2 linked regions of the Astyanax mexicanus genome follow. The protein of the gene in region 1 purifies or fractionates together with the protein of each later gene. This does not show direct contact. Links are inferred from orthologs where the notes say so. Each region holds a gene or a part of one and is shown on either strand. Other genes may lie near its edges.

Region 1 (10,709 bases):
TACAGCATACAGTATAAATGTTTTTATAGGATAAATTCACAAAAACTAACTTCATTACATATTTTTTCATGAAAACACAGTCACAATATAACCCACACTTTATCTGAAAACTGAGCTGTATCATTCTGTATAGGACAGAGTATATTTATTAATGCACATTTCACTTTTTATTTGCAGCCACATACAAATGAAGGTGAGTGCTGAATGTCGAATGAGACACAAGCGAAGTGATTGGAATATTATATCTAATCCAGCCAAACCAGAACATGGTGGTATTGTTTAGATTGTAGAACAGAACTGCTGTTGGTGAAATTCTCCAACTATAAATAGATTTATTTCCTTATACAATATCTCAATATTTTTGCCAGCAGTTTCCTTTCCTTAAAACAAAGGTAAAGAAAATTATATTTTATGAATGTAAACCATCTGAAAGTCTACATTTACTGCAACAATACTACAAAGTCTGTTAGCAATAACTTATCATGCAATAATAAAAATAGATATAATAAAACAAAAAAGCACAATGATTTCTGCTTTCAGCAACATGTTGGCAAAGAAGTCCGTTCTGATTACGCGTTTTTTCCTCGAGCGGCACTTGTGTCGTTTCTTTTCAGTGATGAGGTAAATGAAAGAAATTGATGAGCGATTTTGGGACGAGGATTCGGACATTAGGAGTCGACCCAGCTCTGCTCCACGATGGCAGAAACGCGCTTCTCGTACTCGCGCTTGTTCTCCTGATACAGCTGAGCTGCCTGGCTGTTAGCGGGACTGTTGGGGTTCGGCTCGTCCAGCAGAGACTGAAAATCACAGGGAATAAAGACGTTCAGGAGCTTCAAACAGCTAATAAATCACATAATTAAACTTCTAATTAACCTGGAATTCTGTGTAAATATCTGCCACAAGTTGTGGAACAATTTCAGAAAAAACATAAAAATATAAAAATTAAAAAATTAAGACTTTCCTCCATATACAGCCCATAATATCACCAACAGATCAAGAGAATCTGAAATCCCACCGATCATTTAAACAAAATGTGGCCAAATTAATAAAAATGATACATTTTATTCTTATAGTCGAGTCACTGAGTGTAAATTCCTCCTCCGGCTGATTTTATTGGTTCCTGCTGCAGAGCTGCAAAACTTTAGGAGACGCTTTCAGGACAGCGACGTTTGGACTAATTTAAATATCTGATACAGGTTCAGTAACAGAAACAAACCAGGAGATTTTACACAAATCTGCTGAACCCAGAGCGTCAAAAGGCAGCTGCTGATACGTTCTGATAATGTGATGATAAAGGGAGGCCATGTTTACAAAAAAGTCAAGGTTTTTATTTAATTATTTATTTACAGAGTCTAAATATCATGCACCGAGACCAATTTGAAAAGGACTAGTTTAACCGGCCAATGAAAAAATAGCATCACTTATTACAGCAAACAAACAAAAACACTCACAATCAACCATGGAGCGAGATATGCCTGATTTTTACACAGCGCAACAGATTTAATAAGAACTAAAACTGTAATAAAACATCATGACCCTTTATTAGCAGTTAAGTATCAGAGTTAAAATTACAGAAACACAGAATCACACAGGATAAGATGATAATTCTTAACAAGAAATATAAATATATTTTACAGAATGATCTCGTACCTGGATAGATGTAAGAATAGAAGATACATCATACGTGGGACTCCAGCGATTCTGAAGAATGTCTAAACATATACTTCCATCTGCATAAACTACAACACACAACAACACATTCTATAATCACACACTGTGAGGCATTAAGGGTGCGCATAAACACACACACACTCGCTCACACTCACACTGAATAGTGAGGTACCGGGGTGATTGTGTATTTGGGATTATTGATCACAGAGGGATGAACTTCTCACCGTTTGGGTGGAACATTTTGGAGATAAACCGAACCGTAGGAGGTTTGTTAGGATATTCTTCTGAAAATTCTATCACAAGCTTAAACGTTCCTGCAAGAAAATGCAGAGTTAAGATTAAAATAAATAATAAACAGTCAGCAGTATGAAATAAACGCTACCTTACACTACACTTCTAATAACTGAACTCAGCAATTTAACCTCTGTTAAAACTGTGCTGTGTCTTTCTGTGCGCAGAATAGCGGGTGTGATTTCCAGGTATTTTATTTGTAGTATTAAGAGATAATTGGCTTACCATCTTCAAATGGTGTTCCCACAGGTCTGTAAAAAAAACACACATTTCTGGTTACTTAATACAACTAAAAACATATCAATCTTATCTGGTCAGGGAATTCTCACCAGTGCTAAATTATTAAATATATTGTGATATATTTTGTCATATTGTCCAGGTCTACTTTAGTGTTTTATTTATAAGTTGTCCCATTTTAACCCTGCTCTATCAGTATCTGCAGCTTTATATTGTAAGTATTAGTTATAAATATCAGTACTCACCCAAAAATAACCGCATTCCAGAGCATGATGTTGTTTTCTGATGGAGCTCCACTCACGCCCGTCGGCGGGTCTTCTTGAAGTCTGATTATAAAAGAGAGGAAACGCTTGTGTTTAAACACTAGTGAGGACGGATATCTGTGAACATGGCAGCACCTTTAATTTTACAGTGCAAAGTTCTTTAAATTCACTGAACTGAAGCTTCATGAAACAAAATTAACAGGATTTTTAGAGGCTGAACTGAAACGATTCCCACAATCCCTCAGTACAATTCACTCCCAAATCAGTGAAACGTCAGTAGTGTTGTTAATTATATTTTATATACAGTCAAATTAAATGTCTTTAGGCCTGAGGTGCGAAATACAGCATCAGCAGCATCGGCAGCAGGACGAATATTCATAACAGGAACCGAGCCGGACATTACTCACACATATACACAAAACCATAAATTACATCTGTATAACATATTGTATAGTGGTATATAAACTCTGGTTATAGTGCTGTATATATGGTGTGTATATATAGTGTATGCACTCTGGTTATGGCGGTGTATATACTCTGGTTATAGTGGTGTATATACTCTGGTTCTCTGGTGTTTTGGTGTATTGGTAGAACTCAGTTAGCGAAGGCTGGGAGGTGCGGATGTTTATTAGATATATAGTCAGTTGGTTAGATAGTTAATAAAGTAAATACAGTAATAAACACAGTAATAAATACAGAGGTAAAGCGCCGTTCTGGAGCGAAGCGGGTCGCGGGAGCGAGCGGCGGCTAACCGGCTAACCGAGCCCGGTGTTGTGTCGAGTTCTGCTACCCTGTCAACCAGCGCTACCCTAGTTTATAATGTTTAACTGTAAAAATACTGATTATTAGAACATGCTGCATGCCGTAGAAGTGTCGCTATGATATTTGAATAGCCTAAATCAGGATAAAGTTAAGGCAATATAGGTGATAAAATATTTACATATAGATATATATTTATATTATTATACATTTTTTTCATTGCTGTAACACTCAAGAAAACGATTACTGCGATTTCAGATTGTATAATGCACTCGGTAATAAAAAAAAACTAAATTATCAGGAAAAACAAGAAGTGGGTAACCCAGGTCCAGAAAATAAATATCCAAACCAGGGTTTTGTACCCACTGCCTGGGCTGGGCTGAGCTGAGCTGGGTGAGATGGGTTGGTACAAAACCTTGGGATGGATTTTTACTTTCTCGACCTGGGTCACCTATCGATGGGTAGCACAACTCGACAGAACACCATCCCCGAATAAACCCGCCCTCGACCACATATTATACACAGATATACAGGTGTATAAAGGTGTGTATAAAGGTAATGTACCGTTTGAAGTCTCGCATTAGTCTCCGGCGGGCCGGGGTGGACATGTTTCGGGGGTTTGATGGTAAAAATCGGAGCCGCAGGAGAACCAGGCCTCTTCTCTCTGCTCCAAACAACCCGTGACGTCATACCACAGACCCCGCCTCCAGCGCGCGCCTTCCCGACAAACACTGTTCACAGAAGCCTTATGTGTTTATTATTTAATTTCTTTTATTCATTTTCTTTTTTATTAGTTCATAACCCTTAATGTTATACGTTCTACATTTATGTAAATATCGGAGGTGTTTTAAATTATACTGTAATTTTTATTATTGCTGCTTAGTGTAAATCTCTCTAAAATGAAGGGAAATTTTAAATTACACAACAGATCTCGACAAACAAAATATTCAAAATATACATTTTGTAATTATCTGAGAACAAAAGAACACAAAAAACAACCCCTGGAAGGCTAGATGTAAATTAATACAGAAAATAAAAGTAAAACATTGAAACCCTATAAGTAGATAGATAGAACCTACTTTAACAATTTAGACACAAATATTATATTTGCTCGTTTATTTTTTTGAAGAAAACGATCCATTATTACATATTTGTGAGTGTAAAATAATGTAAATATCCGATTTCAGTATCTGGTGTGAGTTTCCTTCTTTACAGTAATAACTGATCTAAATGTTTCCGGTCTCTGTAGATCAGTCCTGGAGGAACTTTAACTCAGAACAGCTTTAACTCTGGGATGTTGGTGGTTAATCAGGTTTCCTCACATTAACTGATCACTTCACTCTGTCCACAACATTTCTACTGGATTAAGATCAGGACTTTATTGGCCCCATTACAAAACATTCTTGATTCGTTCTTGTTCTTCTTGTGTGTGTATAGTGTGTGTCTATATAGTGTGTGTGTGGTGTGTGTATATAGTGTGAGTGTGTGTGTTACTTGTTTATTGGTGGTCTTGAGGACACTGATGACATCATTACTGGGATGAAAGCTCCTGCAGTGTGAAGTGCTTGTAATTCGCTTTAGTTCATTAATATTCATAATTCAGCTTTTAATGTGCTGATGATAGTGATGATAGTGATGATCTTTGATGTTTGTGTTCTTTTCAGGTGACAAATGCCTCTCAAACCTTTTCATATATATATTTACTGAATGTTCAGATGAGTATAATAGGGGATGATGTCAGATTGATGTTACAGGAGGGTTTCTCAGCTGTTCTCAGATAAAGCTGATTAATTATCTTTCTCGTTTAAAAACATTTAAACATTTTATAGATCCGTATTTTATTCAATATTGAAGTTCTCAGTACTTCACCGTTACAGAAGTGCTGTGTGTGATATTAGCGGGTAAATATAAACCGCAGCTGATGAAGAGTCATCACACTGCTCCATAATTTGTTTTTACAGCATAAGATAAGATAAGCGTTATCCCTCAAGAAACCAAACCCTTTCCACACTAACTAAATATGAGCATTATGTTTTGGAATTAAAACACAGATAGTAACCTGACACAATATAACGATATATAATTTTTTATATCCTGTATAACAGAGGTTCTCAAATTGTAGTATATACACTGCTAGTGGAGAATATTTATGCACAAAGAGATGAATAATTATTAAAAACTATAATTTCTTCTATTTTTATAACTTAGGTTTGTTTATGTTAGTGCTGGTCTTTAACTACAGTACTATAATTATTAATATCAGTTTAATAAGCCCTACAGTAAAACCCTGTGGAACCGAAACAACCCCAGTAGTTTCTGTGTCAGAAAAGATATCAAAATATTTAATGTAAGATTCAATGTGATGCCATATATCACTACATCATCTCAAACTACGATTGTTTTCCTCTGTTTTCCAGATGTCTTAGTATGCATACTGCATGTCAATAATCAATAATTTTCCTATTGCAGAGGAGGATAAGGTCCACACAGCAGCTGCGGTTGGTGGAATTTTAGCTGAATGATATGTTGTTTAAAATGTCTGAAAACCATGATTGTAGAAAAATACATTATTAATTTATAAAAGTGTAAACCTCCAAATTCCATATTTACTCATAATGAACACATTATTACATATTGTGGTTCACACAGCTGCCTGGTTTTGAGGATAAACAAAAATTGGAGGGCTTCACACTGACGCTCTTAGTGTGGACTGTTCCTATAAGCTATTCACCAATTAATTAAGTTAGTTTTAAAGAATGAAAAAAGAATGTTACTGTTGAAACAGAAGAACAGTCGCCTGAACAATTGAACCTGTCTGTCGCCCCAGCTCGACCACGTTTCTATCAAACCTTATTTTAAAAGTGATTTATATATAGTATTTTAGGCACATTTTATTAAAAATAGCCAGTATCTAATATATCAAAAATATATCGATTTGTATGACGTATCGCCCAGCCCTACTGAGGACCAATGAGGAGGCGCGGTCCGCCTATCTGCAGCCAATCAGAGCGGCGCTTGCAGCCGGTAAGACTGCGTGCGAGAGGCTGTGTCCGCGGGCGGGACCGGAGCTGCGTGTTTATTTCCTGCTCAGTTTGTGTTTTTTTTACCGGATAAAATAGCGGATAAGAGCCGTATGAACCCAAGGGACTGATCGAGCTGATCGCGGCGAGGCGCTGGGAGACTCCGGGGCGGATCTGAGAGATTTATCTGCAGTTTAACCGGCTGAAGATCGCGGTATGGATGAGAAGGCGTTCACCAAGGAGCTGGATCAGTGGATCGAGCAGCTCAACGACTGCAAGCAGCTCTCCGAGAGCCAGGTCAAAACCCTGTGCGAGAAGGTACGAAGTGATCAGGAGTGATAAAGAGTGTGCTGGGGTGAGCGGGCTGCGGGTTGAGTGGTGCAGTGCGGGAGTTGAGGTGCGGGGGAGCAGTAAGATGGCGTCGGAATTTTTTTAACGCCGTTAAACTCTGGTTAGTTTGTTCCGCAGCGCTTCAGCGTTCAGTTTACTGTAACACAGATAAACACCGAGAATATCTACAGGTGATCCGGGAGCCGCGGCTATATTATTACTATATTATATACTCGCCCTGAAACCGCCTTGCCTGGCTTAGCATAGCATAGCATAGCATAGCACAGCTAACTACAGGCGTGTGGGCCGGACAGCCGCTAACTAGCTTAACCTAGCCTAGCCTAGCTCACTAACCCACCCGCTAAAGCCCGGCTCTCTACACCGCGCTGCTCCGCGGGGTCAGACCAGCTGCTATATTGATCATTAATCTCGCATAAAGAAATATTTGTTGTTATTTTAGGTTAATTTGAACTGAGTGGTTGTAGAGCCGGGTTAGCCACCGCTCTCCGCTTCTTTCTGTGCAGAAACTCAAAATGGCGCCGCGTTTCTGAGCCTCAACAGCAGATGCTACAGAGACCATTACACTAACATCACTAATCACCATAAACACACTAATACTAACACAATTACACTCTAACATCACCACCAACACACTAATACTAACATTACCACACTAACATCACCATAAACACCCTAACCCAGGACCCACAGTCAATTACACTACTAACACTAACATCACCACTAACACACTATTACCAACACACTTATACTGACAAACTAACATCACCAGTAATATACTAATACTATAACACTCTGGAACACTCGCCAGGGGCCTGCAGAGTCCATTACATTATTAACACAATAACAATCATTAACACACTAATAGATAATTAAAGAGAGAAATTAACAAATGGCTCTGTAGTCCCTATGATGTAATCCCTACACTGTTTTTTTGGAGGGGGGGAGGGGGTCATGAAATAATTTTTTTTTATTGTTTTGGTTTAGTTCTGGTTGCTGCGTTCTGGTTAACATGTTACGAAGTTAGACATATTGATATGCTACCTGTTTATCAATTGTTTCTTTTTTTTTGCCTAAATATGCAATTGGCCAGTAATGTAGCTGACAGGTACGATGCATGTCAACCTGTGTATTGGAGAAAAATTTTGCCTCTGTCTTTAAGTCACCTGTGCCGTAAATACACACATACATGCTAGTGAGCACACACACATATCATCAAAAAAAAAAAAAAACACTGAGCCAGCTCTGCCTCATAACTACTATAATGTAGAATATGTAAAAAAAAAAAAAGTGCTTTGTGGAGAAAGAGTCCATTACTCATCCCGGAGTGTCGGCAGAGCTAGAAAACACCGCAGCGATCTTGAGCTTGTGGTTCTGTTCGGAAAGTCTGGCTCTGGCAGATGATGTTCTAAATGGGGTTGGTTCCAAAGTGAAGAACATTTTTAATTTTGAAGATTGCAGACCAGTTTGCCTGGAAAGGCTAATTTGGTATCCAGCCATGCTCTTGATTGGGATCAGCTATCGACCGGCTGAGATAAGACGATCTTATTCTAACGATTTGAACTGGTTTAATTTGAGCCAAATCAGTAACTGCATCCCAAGTGTGCACACATTGCAGTGGAGTATTTGGATGTTTTCACAACAGCTCTATTTGAACCAGTTAAAACTAATTCTGGTTGGTGCAGTTTGTTTGGGTAGTAGTGAAAACAGTGCTGGGGGGGCCGGTAAATTTTATTTTATTTTTTTTGGTGCGTTTAGGTTTTTGCCGGTGTGTCTGGTCTTATGTAGGTCACTGCTGGTCTTGCTGTGTGTGAACCAGTCCTCCCAGTACACACTCCTCACACAACAAACAAAACCCTGACCTAATCCTGATGTGTACTAGTGGAACTTTATACACGACATTAGATAAAAGAGAGAGGAATTTTACAGGCAAAATGATCTGTTTAGACAAACCATGGAGGCCAAACCTTTTACCTAAAGTTGATATGGATGTTCAGGGCTCTAGACTTAAAGTCTCAAGATAAATGAATTAAAAAGAGTCTTTTTCGCACTATATACACTCCTCAAATATGCCTTGGAGTATCAACACTACACAGTTTCACATTAAAAGCTGAAATAATAATAAAAAATTCCAGCTTAAATACGATATACTAGTTCTTAGAGACAGATATTTCACAATAATTCAGAAGTGAAATCTGAGGGAGTTCGAAAGGTCCAGCGGGCTAAGCGCTGTCACTTCGACCACCAGTTCGAATCCAGGTCATGCAGTTTGTCATCTGCTTCTGGATCCCAAGACAACTGGCCTTGCTCTCTCTGGGGGGCTACAGTAGATGGCGCTCTTTCCTCTCATCACTCACAGGGTGATGTGAATCAGCACAAGGCTGCGTCTGTGAGCTGATGTATCAGAACCGAGTTGTTGCACTTTCCTCCGAGCGTTAGCGCTGTGATGCTACTCAGCAATGCTACATCAGCAGAGTCCTAATGAGTGGGTTGGATAATTGGCCGTGGAAAATGGGCAAGAAAAGAAAATTCTGAGAAAACAAAAAGGGTGAAATCTGAATGAAAAAAAATAAATTCTTTATTGTTCATGGTATACAAGTATAACAATATGAGATGGCCTGAGGACTTTTATCATGTAGCAGGGAAGCTACAATGGCTAACAGGTAACTGGCTATGCTAACTGTTTTCCGAGCTGAATAAATCTCTATTTTCTTAAGTAATTGTGTTGATTGCATGCCTTGGGAAGACTTTGAGTAACACCACAATGGGACATCACCATGGTACTTCGCTGACTCTGATTGGTTTAGAGCATGATATGGGTTGAGATGTGGTCTAAATTATTTACTTATTATCAAAGTTTAGTATAGTAGCTGAATAGCTGCCTATATATCGTGTGTTGACAGTGATTAACTGTTTTAATTGTTTTTCTAGGCTAAAGAAATTCTGACAAAGGAGTCGAACGTGCAGGAGGTACGATGTCCTGTAACAGTCTGTGGAGATGTTCACGGACAGTTTCACGATCTTATGGAGCTTTTCAGAATCGGAGGAAAATCACCGGATACGAACTACCTGTTTATGGGAGATTATGTGGACCGAGGTTATTACTCTGTGGAGACGGTCACGCTGCTCGTAGCTCTTAAGGTATGAACTACTGACAGTAAATTTTAACTACATTAAAACTAGCGTTTTGCCAAGATGGTGTTAAAAAGTAAAAAAAAAAAAAAATTGTTTAATTTATTTTTAGGTTAGGTACCGTGAGCGCATCACGATTCTCAGAGGGAACCACGAAAGCAGACAGATCACGCAGGTTTACGGCTTTTACGACGAGTGCCTCAGAAAATACGGCAACGCAAACGTTTGGAAATACTTTACAGACCTCTTCGATTACCTTCCCCTTACAGCTCTGGTAGATGGACAGGTAAATTCATCACCTAACTTTTAGTATTTGATCATTTTCTAAATGTATTCTGAATCTCTGCTGAAACTTTTAAACTGGATCTTCTCAGATATTCTGTCTTCATGGAGGACTGTCCCCGTCTATAGACACGCTGGATCACATCCGCGCCCTGGACCGCCTACAGGAAGTTCCACACGAGGTGAGTATGGATGACCTTGCTAATTACTGTGTGTGTGTGTGTGTGTGTGTGTACAGGATTATTGCAGTAGTGTAATGCGTGCTGTGTGTTCCTCAGGGGCCGATGTGTGATCTGCTGTGGTCAGATCCGGATGATCGCGGCGGTTGGGGAATCTCACCCCGTGGCGCCGGCTACACCTTCGGGCAGGACATTTCTGAAACCTTTAACCACGCCAACGGCCTTACCCTCGTCTCCAGAGCTCATCAGCTGGTGATGGAGGTGAGTCGAGGGGTAAACGCTGGATGTGAGGGTGGAGGTGATTATGGAAACTGTGGTGTTAGGGGTTTGCAGGAGTTAAAGTTGTATAACTGCCTGATTTTAATGAAGATTTCTAATGTATTCTTTAATCTCAGGGTTATAACTGGTGCCACGATCGTAATGTGGTAACGATCTTCAGCGCACCAAACTACTGCTATCGCTGCGGGAATCAAGCAGCAATCATGGAACTGGATGACACCCTAAAGTATTCTTTGTAAGTGTCTTTA
Region 2 (10,718 bases), on another chromosome or scaffold:
AATAAGAGAGCACTTAAACATGATGAGTTTCTTTGATTTTACCAAATTGAAAACCTCTGAAATATAATCAAGAGTACCAGGAGTGAAGCAGCATAAAGTTATCCAAAAGCAGTGTGTAAGACTGGAGGAGGAGAACATGATGCCAAGATGCATGAAAACTGTGACTAAATACCAGGGTTATTCCACCAAATATTGATTTCTGAACTCTTAAAACTTTATGAATATGAACTTGTTTTCTTTGCATTATTTGAGGTCTGAAAGCTCTGCATCTTTTTTTGTTATTTCAGCCATTTCTCATTTTCGGTAAATAAATGCTCTAAATGAGAATATTTCTATTTGTAATTTGGGAGAAATGTTGTCTGTAGTTTATAGAATAAAACAGCAATTTTCATTTCACTCAAACATAAACCTATAAATAGCAAAATCAAAGAAACTGATTCAGAAACTGAAGTGGTCTCTTATTTTTTGTGTGCTTGGGTAGGAAAACCTTTAAAATGGTGCACTGCCACGTATATGTGGTTTATTTGAGTCTTTTAAGTCTAGACAAGGAGGTTACCTGGGGAATATTCTATATTGATTAGAAGTAAAATACGCTAGACTCATGCAAACGTCTAATTTAAAGTTCAGTGCTGCATTTCTGTCTCTTTTTTAAGATCCAGTGATACATATACCTGAGTAACCAAATCAGGCACCAACACAAGCACCTAGCAGTAGCACCTAGCAACCACAACAAGTTCCAAACTATACCCTAGCAACAAACACGCAGCAATACAGAACTCATTTTATATCACATATCTAGCAACTGCTTAGCAATACCATAAGAACCATCTGGGATACCACAGCAACTTCCTAGCAACCACCTACTAATCCTCTAGCAACCATATAGCAACCACTTAGAAATACCATAAGAACCGCTCACAATATCAGAGCAACTATTAAGCAATCACATAGCAACAGTCCAGCAACTATCTGGGATATCACAGCAACCATCTAGAAATATCATAGCAAACGCCTACCAACCCTATACCCTATACCACTAAAACACCCCCTTTATATTAGCAACACAACAGCAACAATTTAGCACCTAGTAGTAGCACCTAGCAACCACTTGAACCTCATTAGAACCACCTGAGATACTATAACAAGTCCCAAACAATGCCCTAGCAACCACCGTGCAGCAATACAGAAGTCATTTTATAGCACATATCCAGCAACTGCTTAGCAATACCACAAGAACCATCTGGGATAGCAGCAACTGCCTAGCAACCACCTACTTATCCTCTAGCAACCATATAGCAACAGTATAGCACCCAACTAGCAACCACTTAGAAATATCATAAGAACCACTCACAATATCACAGCAACTGCCAAGCAATTACACAGCAACACCCCAGCAACAACCTAGGATACCACAGCAACCATCTAGGAATATCATAGCAAACACCTACCAACCCTTAGGGTTACCAACGCTTAGCAATACCAGCGATACCACTACAACTACCTAGCAATCCCCTAGCAATCATACAGCAACAGTATAGCACCCATCTAGCAACCACTCAGAAATACCATAAGAACAACCACAACAGCAACTGCCTAGCAATCACATAGCAAAGCAACACCACAACAACCACCTGGTATACCACCGCAACCATCTAGGAACATCATACCAAACACCTACCAACCCTATACCTATCAACTAATCACTCAGCAACACCATAGAACCACCTGAGATATCACAGTAGCCAGGAGCCTGAAACCACCCAGGACACCAGAGGAACCACCTAGAAGCCCCTTAAGTACGAAACCCGCTTAGCCACCCCTACCTCACTTAGCAGCAACCTAACACCCATAGCAAGACATTGCATCCATGTAGCAACCAGCATACTGCTTGCCAATGAAGGACCACAGCAAACACCTGGGAGACCATAGAAACCAACTAGCAACATCATAGCAACCACCTAGGAACACAATATGTAGTATAAACTTAAAATGGAGTAAACATTACTGTTTAAAGCGTATTTACTATGTTCGTTAAACAAGGCTATAATCATTCCTTAAGACTGTAAGAAGCTCATCGTTTTTAAGTGCTCTCTTATTCTTTTGAAAATCTGTAGACTTGGAGGACCACAGCAACCACAAAGGCTTACATACAGCAACAAGAATGGCTTAGTTCTTATAAAGCATGTTTACACTGTTGTTCAGCTAACAAAAGGCCTGCTATGACTCCAAGTATAACACCTAATATACACTTTTATACAGTCTGCTCTATTCTTAAACATTGAAAGGCATTACTCAATAGAGTCACATTTCACTTCCATCACAGCTACTACCTGACCCCAATCAAGCCTAGGACACAATCCAAAAACATGAAACACAGTCTATCTATTAGAGAGAAACCAGAGGAAACAACCCCAATGGCAGATGATGAAACCAAAAAATAAGCTCTTGGAATAAGCTTAAATATTGATTATTAATATTATATGTTACATTTACTGCAAAACCGATAGCCAACCACGTTATCCCTTTTACTCCTGCATGTGAAGCCTATTCTATCCTCTTCTATTGACAAGTTGTTGACAAACAGCCCAGCAGGCCCTGATGGAGATGGTTAACAGGGAGGTTAACAGGGAATCCCAGCCTCTCCAAAAACTGTGAACCCTTCCTGGCTCCTGCTACATCACAACCAGAGAGATAAAGGAAGAAACACACGCAGATGGATGGATGGATGGATGGATGGATGGATGGATGGATGCTGGTTGGAATAAATGCAGGATGCAGAATACAGGGATGTAACAGTGGGATGCATCTAACCATAAGTGCATGATCCAGGGTTGTGCTGTGCTTCTTCTTCCTCCTCCTCCTCTTCTTCTTCTTCTTCTTCTTCTGCTTTATGTTGCTGCTGCTCCTTCAGTTTTCTGCGCGTTGCGGCCAGGCGGCCGCCGGATCCTCCGTCATGCTGTGTGAGTCGCGGCACACGCTCTGAAACGAGAACGGATGTGCTGTCATGCCCAGAGTTTCATGTAGACGACTGAGCATCTCCCCTCCAGTACTCCTCTCATCTCATGTCATCCCTGGAACGATGGAGGACGGGAAGAAAAAACTAGAATCCGGCTTCAGTGGAGAAGCAGCCGGGGATGATTCATCAGAAACAGCAGCAGAGGGAAAAACAGGAGGATGGGAAGGATGGATAAGAGCTCTGCTGCTAGAGGAGCAGCAGTTTTAGAGGGCGAGGGAGGGAGGCTGACACAGAGAGAGAGAGAGAGAAAAGGGTTGGGCGCTTGCTTACCATGAACACACCCCCAACCCTGATGAAGCAAGGGATGAAGCGATGAAGCTGGCAGCAGAGTAGAGGAGGAGAGGAGAAGGAAGAGGAGGAGGAAGAAGAAGAGGCTGTCAGATCACACACACATACATAACACACACACATACATATATATAACACACACACACATATATATAACACACACACACAGGAGCTTGAGGAGTATGGTGCAGAACTGGGATGCTGGGATGTCTCCTGGGGCTGCCAGTATTTGTGTGGTAGAGAGAAAGGTAGAGAGAAAAAGAGAGAGAGAGAGAGGGAGAGAGAGAGAGAGAGAGAGAGAGAGAGAGAGAGAGAGAGAAAGGCACATAACCTGTGGACGTCTTGCCACCTTCTGGCCACTAGCCTGTAACTGCAGCTCCATCTCTCAGAAATAAAAAAAACATCATTCCCACAGACAAAAACCAGACAGATACATATAAAGCACCACACAGTTCTATAGCTTAAGCTAGAGATCATTTTCAGCTTTAATGTTCTGCGTAATTTACCTCAAACACAGCAGAACCAAGACCCTTAAACTGTGATCCAAAACTGAGGAGCATGACCGGTCTCATCCTCTCAGCCGATACCCCTCCACTCCAACAGGGAGAGCTGTACTGAAACACAGACAATACAGACTGTGAATAACAATCATAGTATTAACAATGTTATAGTGACCAAACTGCTGTTAAATATTTAGTATGTTTATAGTAAGTTACTTAATTTCAGTAATTCAGTTCAAAATGTGAAACACAGAGTGATATATTTTAAGTGTTTATTTCTTGCATTGTTGATGATTATGGTTTACAGCCAATGAAAATCCAAAAAGCAGTGTCTCAGAATATTAGAATATTATTTTAAGACTAAAAAACATGGCACTGTCTTTGGACTTGATAAAACACAGTGGATCAACACCAGCAGATGACATGTCTCTCCAAACCATCACTGATCATCAGTAAATTTTACATTTCATTTGTAAATCAAGGGAGCAGAGTCTGGAGGAAGAGTGGAGAGACACACAGTCCAAACTGCTCAAGGTCTAGTGTTAAGTTTCCACCAATCAGTGATGGTTTGGAGAAACATGTCATCTGCTGGTGTTGATCCACTGTGTTTTATTATCAAGTCTAAAGTCTTGTTTTGTTTTCCCACAAAATCTTACAGCACTTCATACTGCCTTACCTTTGCTGACAACTTTTATGGATATGCAGATTTCATTTTCCAGCAGGACTTGGCCCACTGCCCACACTGCTAAAAAGTACCAATTGGTCTTACATAATATTCAAATTTTCTGAGACGCTGATTTTTGGGTTTTCATTGGCTGTAAGCCATAATAATAAATAAACACTTAAAATAGATCACTCTGTGTGTAATACATCTATATAATATGTGAGTTTCACATTTTGACCTGAAATACTGACATATTACATATTACTGACATGTTCACTTTTTTGAGATGCACTAGTATATATACTAGGGGCAACTAAAAACAAGTAACAAAAGCAATCATCAAGGAACTGTCCAACAATTCATGAAAAATGTGTATATATATTTGTGTAGATATATATTTTTGCTTCTGTCAGAAATCTGTAAAAACTATTATTTTATGTGGCAGTGATTTAGCCTAGCTTTATATATTTTACAATTTTCCTGAACTGCAAAGCAATGAGGTTTTATTTGCACTGTGTTTAAAATAAAAGCTGCTGAAAGGCTGAAGGAGGCTGCTTACTATTCTAACTGTAACTATGTTAGCCTTAGCGATACTGTGCTAATGCTAGCTATGTTAGCATTAGCGATACTGAGCTAACGCTAGATATGTTAGCCTTAGTAATAACGTTACTGAGCTATAGCTATAGCTATGTTAACGCTAGCGATTCTGAGCTAACTTTAGGTAAGGTAGCCTTAGCTATAGTGATGCTAAGCTAACACAGGCTAGGTTAGCTCACTATCAGTTAGCTACATGCTAAGAGCAATGTTATTGCTAACCAGTAAACTGAGTAATAATGTTGAATTAGCTGTTAGGAAAAAGGTGTAAGAGGAACTTCTCATCTTAATTATAGAAGCTGGAGTCTAGCTGTATAAACTGTAAAATGTTCTGCCAAAATAGATTTTATGGTTCTGGTTTACCTTAAATTCTTTCAGAAGTAACTGATAAAATATTATAATTCTTGCACCAGCTCTATTCCCTCCACCTAAATAATTCAGCACATATTATTAAGTTAATGGCTGCCCTTACTAAATTGATATTTTGAAATTTATTATTTTAAGATAAAAAAATAGTTTTTTTGAGATACATCTTTATTTTAAGATACAAAATAATAAAAATAATGACTTAGTATCTCAAAATAATGAGAGAGCAAAACAATGATGTGAAAAAAGGTATGATATGAATGACTATTATTATTAACGAGTTCTAAATAATTTCTTAATAACTCTGTCTTTGTTACTTTTGTGCTTTAAAAAATTGATATATTTGAATTTATCACATAAGTTATTAGAGTGATTGAGTAATTTGTGCGTCATTATTATTATTATTATTATTATTATTATTAACTTTTTATTGCAATCTTTTTCTTGACTACTTTTTTCACATAACAACCTCACTACTTTTCCATTGTATATTTTGTATATTAAGTATTACATATTAAGTATTATTATTATTATTATTATTATTATTATTATTATTATTATTATTATCATGACGCTGCGCGCGCCCCCGGTCGGGGGTGACGTCACGGGCATCATGTCGACTGGCCGCGTGCGCCATCTTGAGAGGAATAAGAAATCTCGGGCGATGCGCGCGGCGCGCTGATCGGACCCGACCGGACCGGAGCGGAGCTTCTCCACGGTTTGGGCCTGCGCTGCGATTCCCCGTTACGGGCAGCGGAAGACCGGCGGGAACTCGCGGCCGGAGAAAGAGAGAGAGAGCCGGGGGCCGGGGACAGATCTGCTGCTGCTGCTGCGGAGCGACGCGATGGCAGGTTAGAGCTGAAGTTTGGAGGAGGCGGAGGAGCAGCAGCGGAGGAGGAGAGGAGAGGAGGCGGGAGGAGGCTGCTGGTTACCCGGACTGAACTGCTACTTCACCCGGCCTGGACCCCCCTGTCTCTCTCTCCCTCCCTCTCTCTCTCTCCCCATCTATCACAATGTCTCTGTATTTCTCTATTTCTGCAGAACACAAACAATCAATCATTCAATCAAGCACCCATGCATTCACACACACACATATATGTACACATATACACACACTGTACTGTACTGTTCATAATCGCAGTGCACTGAAATGTGTGTGTGTGTTCTCTGTGTGTTTCTGCGCCGCGCGCCGCTGCAGGGGTCGGAGGAGGGAACGATTTCCAGTGGTGTTTCTCGCAGGTGAAGGGGGCCATAGACGAGGATGTGGCGGAAGGTAAGCCCGGCGCGTGCCTCTATCTGCATCTTTATATGCATCTAAACCAGCGTAACTGTGGTGTTGATGTGCTGCTGCTGCTGGTTTAGTGCAAGAACGAACGCACGCACGCGGGTGTTTAACGTTAGTTTATTTAAGCGTGCATGCACCCCGGTGCATGCACATATATGAGCTAGTTAGCTAGGTTAGCTATATGTGCATATGTCTTCTCTAGCTAAGGTGGCTAACTAGCCGCTCGCTGACTGCTGACAGAGACTCGTGCTTGCTTAGCGTTAGCCTTAGCATTAGTCTGAGTATTAGCATTAGCCTGAGCTTTAGCATTAGCATTAGCCTGTGCGCGCGACTATGGGAAGTAGTAGCACTAGGGAGGAGGAGGAGGAGGGTGCAGGGAGCTGGTTAGGCCATGCAATTTGTGTTCGTAATTTCTCAGCATGGAAAATAGAACTCGTCCAGCTCGTTCAGCCAGTGCGTCTTTACGCACGAGCCAAACCCGAGCCCATAGCTCGAGCCTCGGGTGTGTGTGTGTGTGTGTGTGTGTGTGTGTGCGCGCGCGCGTGCAGGCGGGCGCTGTGTGGAGGGATGGGAAGAGAGGGATGATTCAGTGCCATGTTCCTCTCACCTCACACTCCAGCACAGACAGGGCTGTAGGGCAGCTGCAGGGAGGAGGTGGATCATAGGCTTTTACTTTATTTCAGTAATCTAGTTAAAAATGTGAAACTCATATATTATATATGCATTAAACACACAAAGTGATCTATTTTAAGCGTTTATTTCTTTTATTGTTGATGATTATGAAGCTTACAGCCAATGAAAACTCCCAAAATATCAGTGTCTCAGAAAATTCGAATATTATATATAAGACCAACTGGTACTTTTGGCAGTGTGCCAAGTCCTGCTGGAAAATGAAATCTGCACCTCCAAAAATAAAATCACAGAAATATTGAATTGATAATAAAACACAGTTGATCAACATCAGCAGATGACAGACATGTCTCTCTAAACAATCACTGATTGGTGGAAACTTTACACTAGACCTCAAGCAGTTTGGACTGTGTGTCCAAACTGTGTATATATGTGTGTATATGTGACTGTATAAAATGCAGTAAGTTTTTGAATAGACTTTTTAAAGTAATGTTCTAGTGAAATATTTAATCTTCCAGTAGTCTAGTATTCAGTAGTTTAATATAATTTATTTGGCTAATTTCTGTTGATCCATCTATCAGGAAATTTTGATACAAAAACTTGAAACTGAACTGCTTGAATTTTTGCACCAGGAATAAAGCAGCATAAAGTTATCCAAAAGCAGTGTGTAAGACTGGTGGAGGAGAACATGATGCCAAGATGCATGAACAAACTGTGATTTAAAACCAGGGTTGTTCCACCAAATATTGATTTCTGAACTGTATGTATATTATTTGAGGTCTGAAAGTTCTGCATCTTTTTTGTTATTTCAGCCATTTTTCATTTTCTGCAAATAAATGCGCAAAATGAGAATATTTTAATGTGGGAGAAATGTTGTCTGTAGTTTATAGAATAAAACAACAATGTTAATTTTACTCAAACATAAACCTATAAATAGCAAAATCAGAGAAACTGATTTTTATAAAATTGGTGTAAAATAGTTTATTTGGATCATTTCTTTGAAGTTACAAGGTTCTTTCCCCTTTAAACAATGAAATGTGCAATAGAGCTGCTTCTCCTTTTCTTCTTCTATAGAGTGGTGTATTTGTGTTGTATTATTGTAAGGTCAGTGCAGTGATCTGTTGTTTGCGTGTCTGTAGCGTGAGTTTACTCTGAGACGTGTGTAGCTGCTGTTGTGTCGCTGTGTGAGGTCACGCATAGGACGAGCAGAGACAGACATATTCAGAAATATCACACATTGAAATGAGTACAGCGCTCTGCTCACTGCATGCATACAATTCTGTCCAATCCGGGGCCAGAATGATGTGAAATAAAAAAAAATTAAAAAGGAATTTTGTGTGTGTAGGGTGGTTTATTGTGAGATGCTCAGTTTTGAGAAAATCTATTAACCCATAATTGATCAGTGTTTTGCTGATTATGATTGACATCAATTATTAGTTGTATTAATAGAAAATATCGATAATGGATTTTCTTTTCTCCAAACTTGTTGAATGTTGAGATTGTTTGTTAATGCACCTCAGTACACAAACTTCTGAGGCTGTTCACTCCCACAGTTCTCACTTATTCATTGATTTAGTGCTGTGGCGCTATTACCATATTTTTCACACTAAAAGTTGCCCTTAAAATCCTTTAATTTTCCTAAAAATGATCAGAGCTCCTTATAATCCGGTGCTCCTTATGTATGAATTCTACCAGTCAGGTATTAAGGAGCAGTAAAGTCACTCTACTGAAGTACAGAGTTATACAGGAGTTTCAGTAAAGTTTCTCCAGCACTAAGGCTGGAGCAGCATTAGCATTAGCTGCTAACCACAGCACTAGCTCTTTTGCTGTTTAGGGGTGAACTGTATGAAAATAGACGTTTATTGAAATAGATGTTCATTGATGGTGCACTTTATAATGCGGTCCATTTATTAGGTTGTGCTAAGGCAGATAGAAAAGCTCTGCTTTGAACTCTTGAAACCTTTAAATCCCTGTTTTATTATTATTATTTTTTGTGTGTGCGTACATATCACAGTGCATGCCAGGCCTGTAGTTTTGAGTAAAGCTGTGTTAAGATGAAGTCCAGAGATGATTTAAGCTGTTTAACGGAAAACAGAGTTCTCCACTGTGTGATGTGGTATACTTGTGAATTTCTCATGCTGGTGGTGAACATCCGGTTGTGGTGATGCATGTTTTTTTTTTTTTTTTTTTTTTTTTTTTTTTTTTTTTTTGTGATTACGATTAGGGGTGGACAATATATACTGATATTTTATTTTATTTTAATTTTTTTGTGATATTTTTGGAGATAAAAAAGACAATCACAGAAATATTGAATTAATTTGTAGAATATTGAACAAATTGAGATGAAAAATTAATGTTACACTATGAATCAAGCTGTTTGGCATCTGACTACTGCGAGTGCAGGTGACGTACTCCTTCTTTCAGATCAGTGTGGGTGTTTATTCTGCCTGTTTTCTGCAATAATTTAGTTTAATTTGTGTTTAATGATTAAATACAATATAACTGTATGAGTATAACTGTGTGAAACTCTTCTGTATTGTTTAGTGTAGAGCAGGCTGTTGTGCAATGCTGTAGAAACACTGAAGATGTTCTCTGTGGGTAAAACCACTTGGAGGCTACAGTGTTGATGCAACAGAAAGTGAACAGTGGGTTATTTATTTTTTTTCACACCAGACAAGCTGAAAACCTGTTCAAGAAAAATAAATAAATAAATAAATAAATAATGTAAAAAAAAAAAAAAAAAGAATATATATATATATATATATATATATATATATATATATATATATATATATATATATATATATATATATATATATATATTTGAATTTTGTCTTAAATCATTGCTATAAACAATCTTTTTTATTTTATTTTACTCACCTAATAAGTACTAGGGCTTCAACTAACAATTATTTATATAATCGATTATTCTTTCTTTTTTTTTTCTTTTTTTTTAATCAGATTAAAAGCGGGGGGAAAAGCAAAACTTGATTTCCAACATTTTATTTAATGAACCATACTGTTTTTTCACTGATGATGATGTAATTGTATAAGAAACACGCAACCTGCCATTGTAAAAAATATTAACATAAATACATAAACATAAATAATTAACCTGACAGTTACATACATTTTATTATCATTGTTTAGTTACTAAAAAAATTGCATGTGATTTAAATATACACCCAGCCTTAGTGGAAATCTGGAAATCTTAGCTTACTGTAAATAAACGTAAGCATTTTACTCTTTACCTAAATAAAAGGTTTTTAGGAGAGAAATCTGTGCAGATAAACATTTAATCTATATATATATATATTAATTTATTATATTTTGTTTAAAGAATTACAGTTTTGTTTGGTTAGCTTTACTTAACTT

The links. Proteins that work in one complex are often made in the same cells at the same time.
Region 2: the proteins of ppp2cab (region 1) and ppp2r2d purify together in Homo sapiens (affinity purification with mass spectrometry; 8 studies listed by BioGRID and IntAct, counting the BioPlex papers as one, with this or other methods). This does not show direct contact. The link is inferred for Astyanax mexicanus from reciprocal best matches to the Homo sapiens genes PPP2CA and PPP2R2D.

What each region holds. Positions count from the first base shown.
Region 1 is NC_064424.1:48,042,735-48,053,443, reverse strand, and holds the start of ppp2cab (serine/threonine-protein phosphatase 2A catalytic subunit alpha isoform), read left to right. Parts: upstream 1-6,240; 5' UTR 6,241-6,457; coding exon 6,458-6,559; intron 6,560-9,520; coding exon 9,521-9,730; intron 9,731-9,833; coding exon 9,834-10,007; intron 10,008-10,095; coding exon 10,096-10,185; intron 10,186-10,281; coding exon 10,282-10,443; intron 10,444-10,577; coding exon 10,578-10,696; intron 10,697-10,709. Other genes in the region: ube2b (ubiquitin-conjugating enzyme E2 B), read right to left, coding at 669-797, 1,651-1,739, 1,896-1,985, 2,188-2,213, 2,445-2,525, 3,786-3,829. UniProt on the Homo sapiens protein: Catalytic subunit of protein phosphatase 2A (PP2A), a serine/threonine phosphatase involved in the regulation of a wide variety of enzymes, signal transduction pathways, and cellular events.
Region 2 is NC_064422.1:11,976,368-11,987,085, forward strand, and holds the start of ppp2r2d (serine/threonine-protein phosphatase 2A 55 kDa regulatory subunit B delta isoform), read left to right. Parts: upstream 1-6,033; 5' UTR 6,034-6,272; coding exon 6,273-6,279; intron 6,280-6,626; coding exon 6,627-6,701; intron 6,702-10,718. UniProt on the Homo sapiens protein: Substrate-recognition subunit of protein phosphatase 2A (PP2A) that plays a key role in cell cycle by controlling mitosis entry and exit. Involved in chromosome clustering during late mitosis by mediating dephosphorylation of MKI67.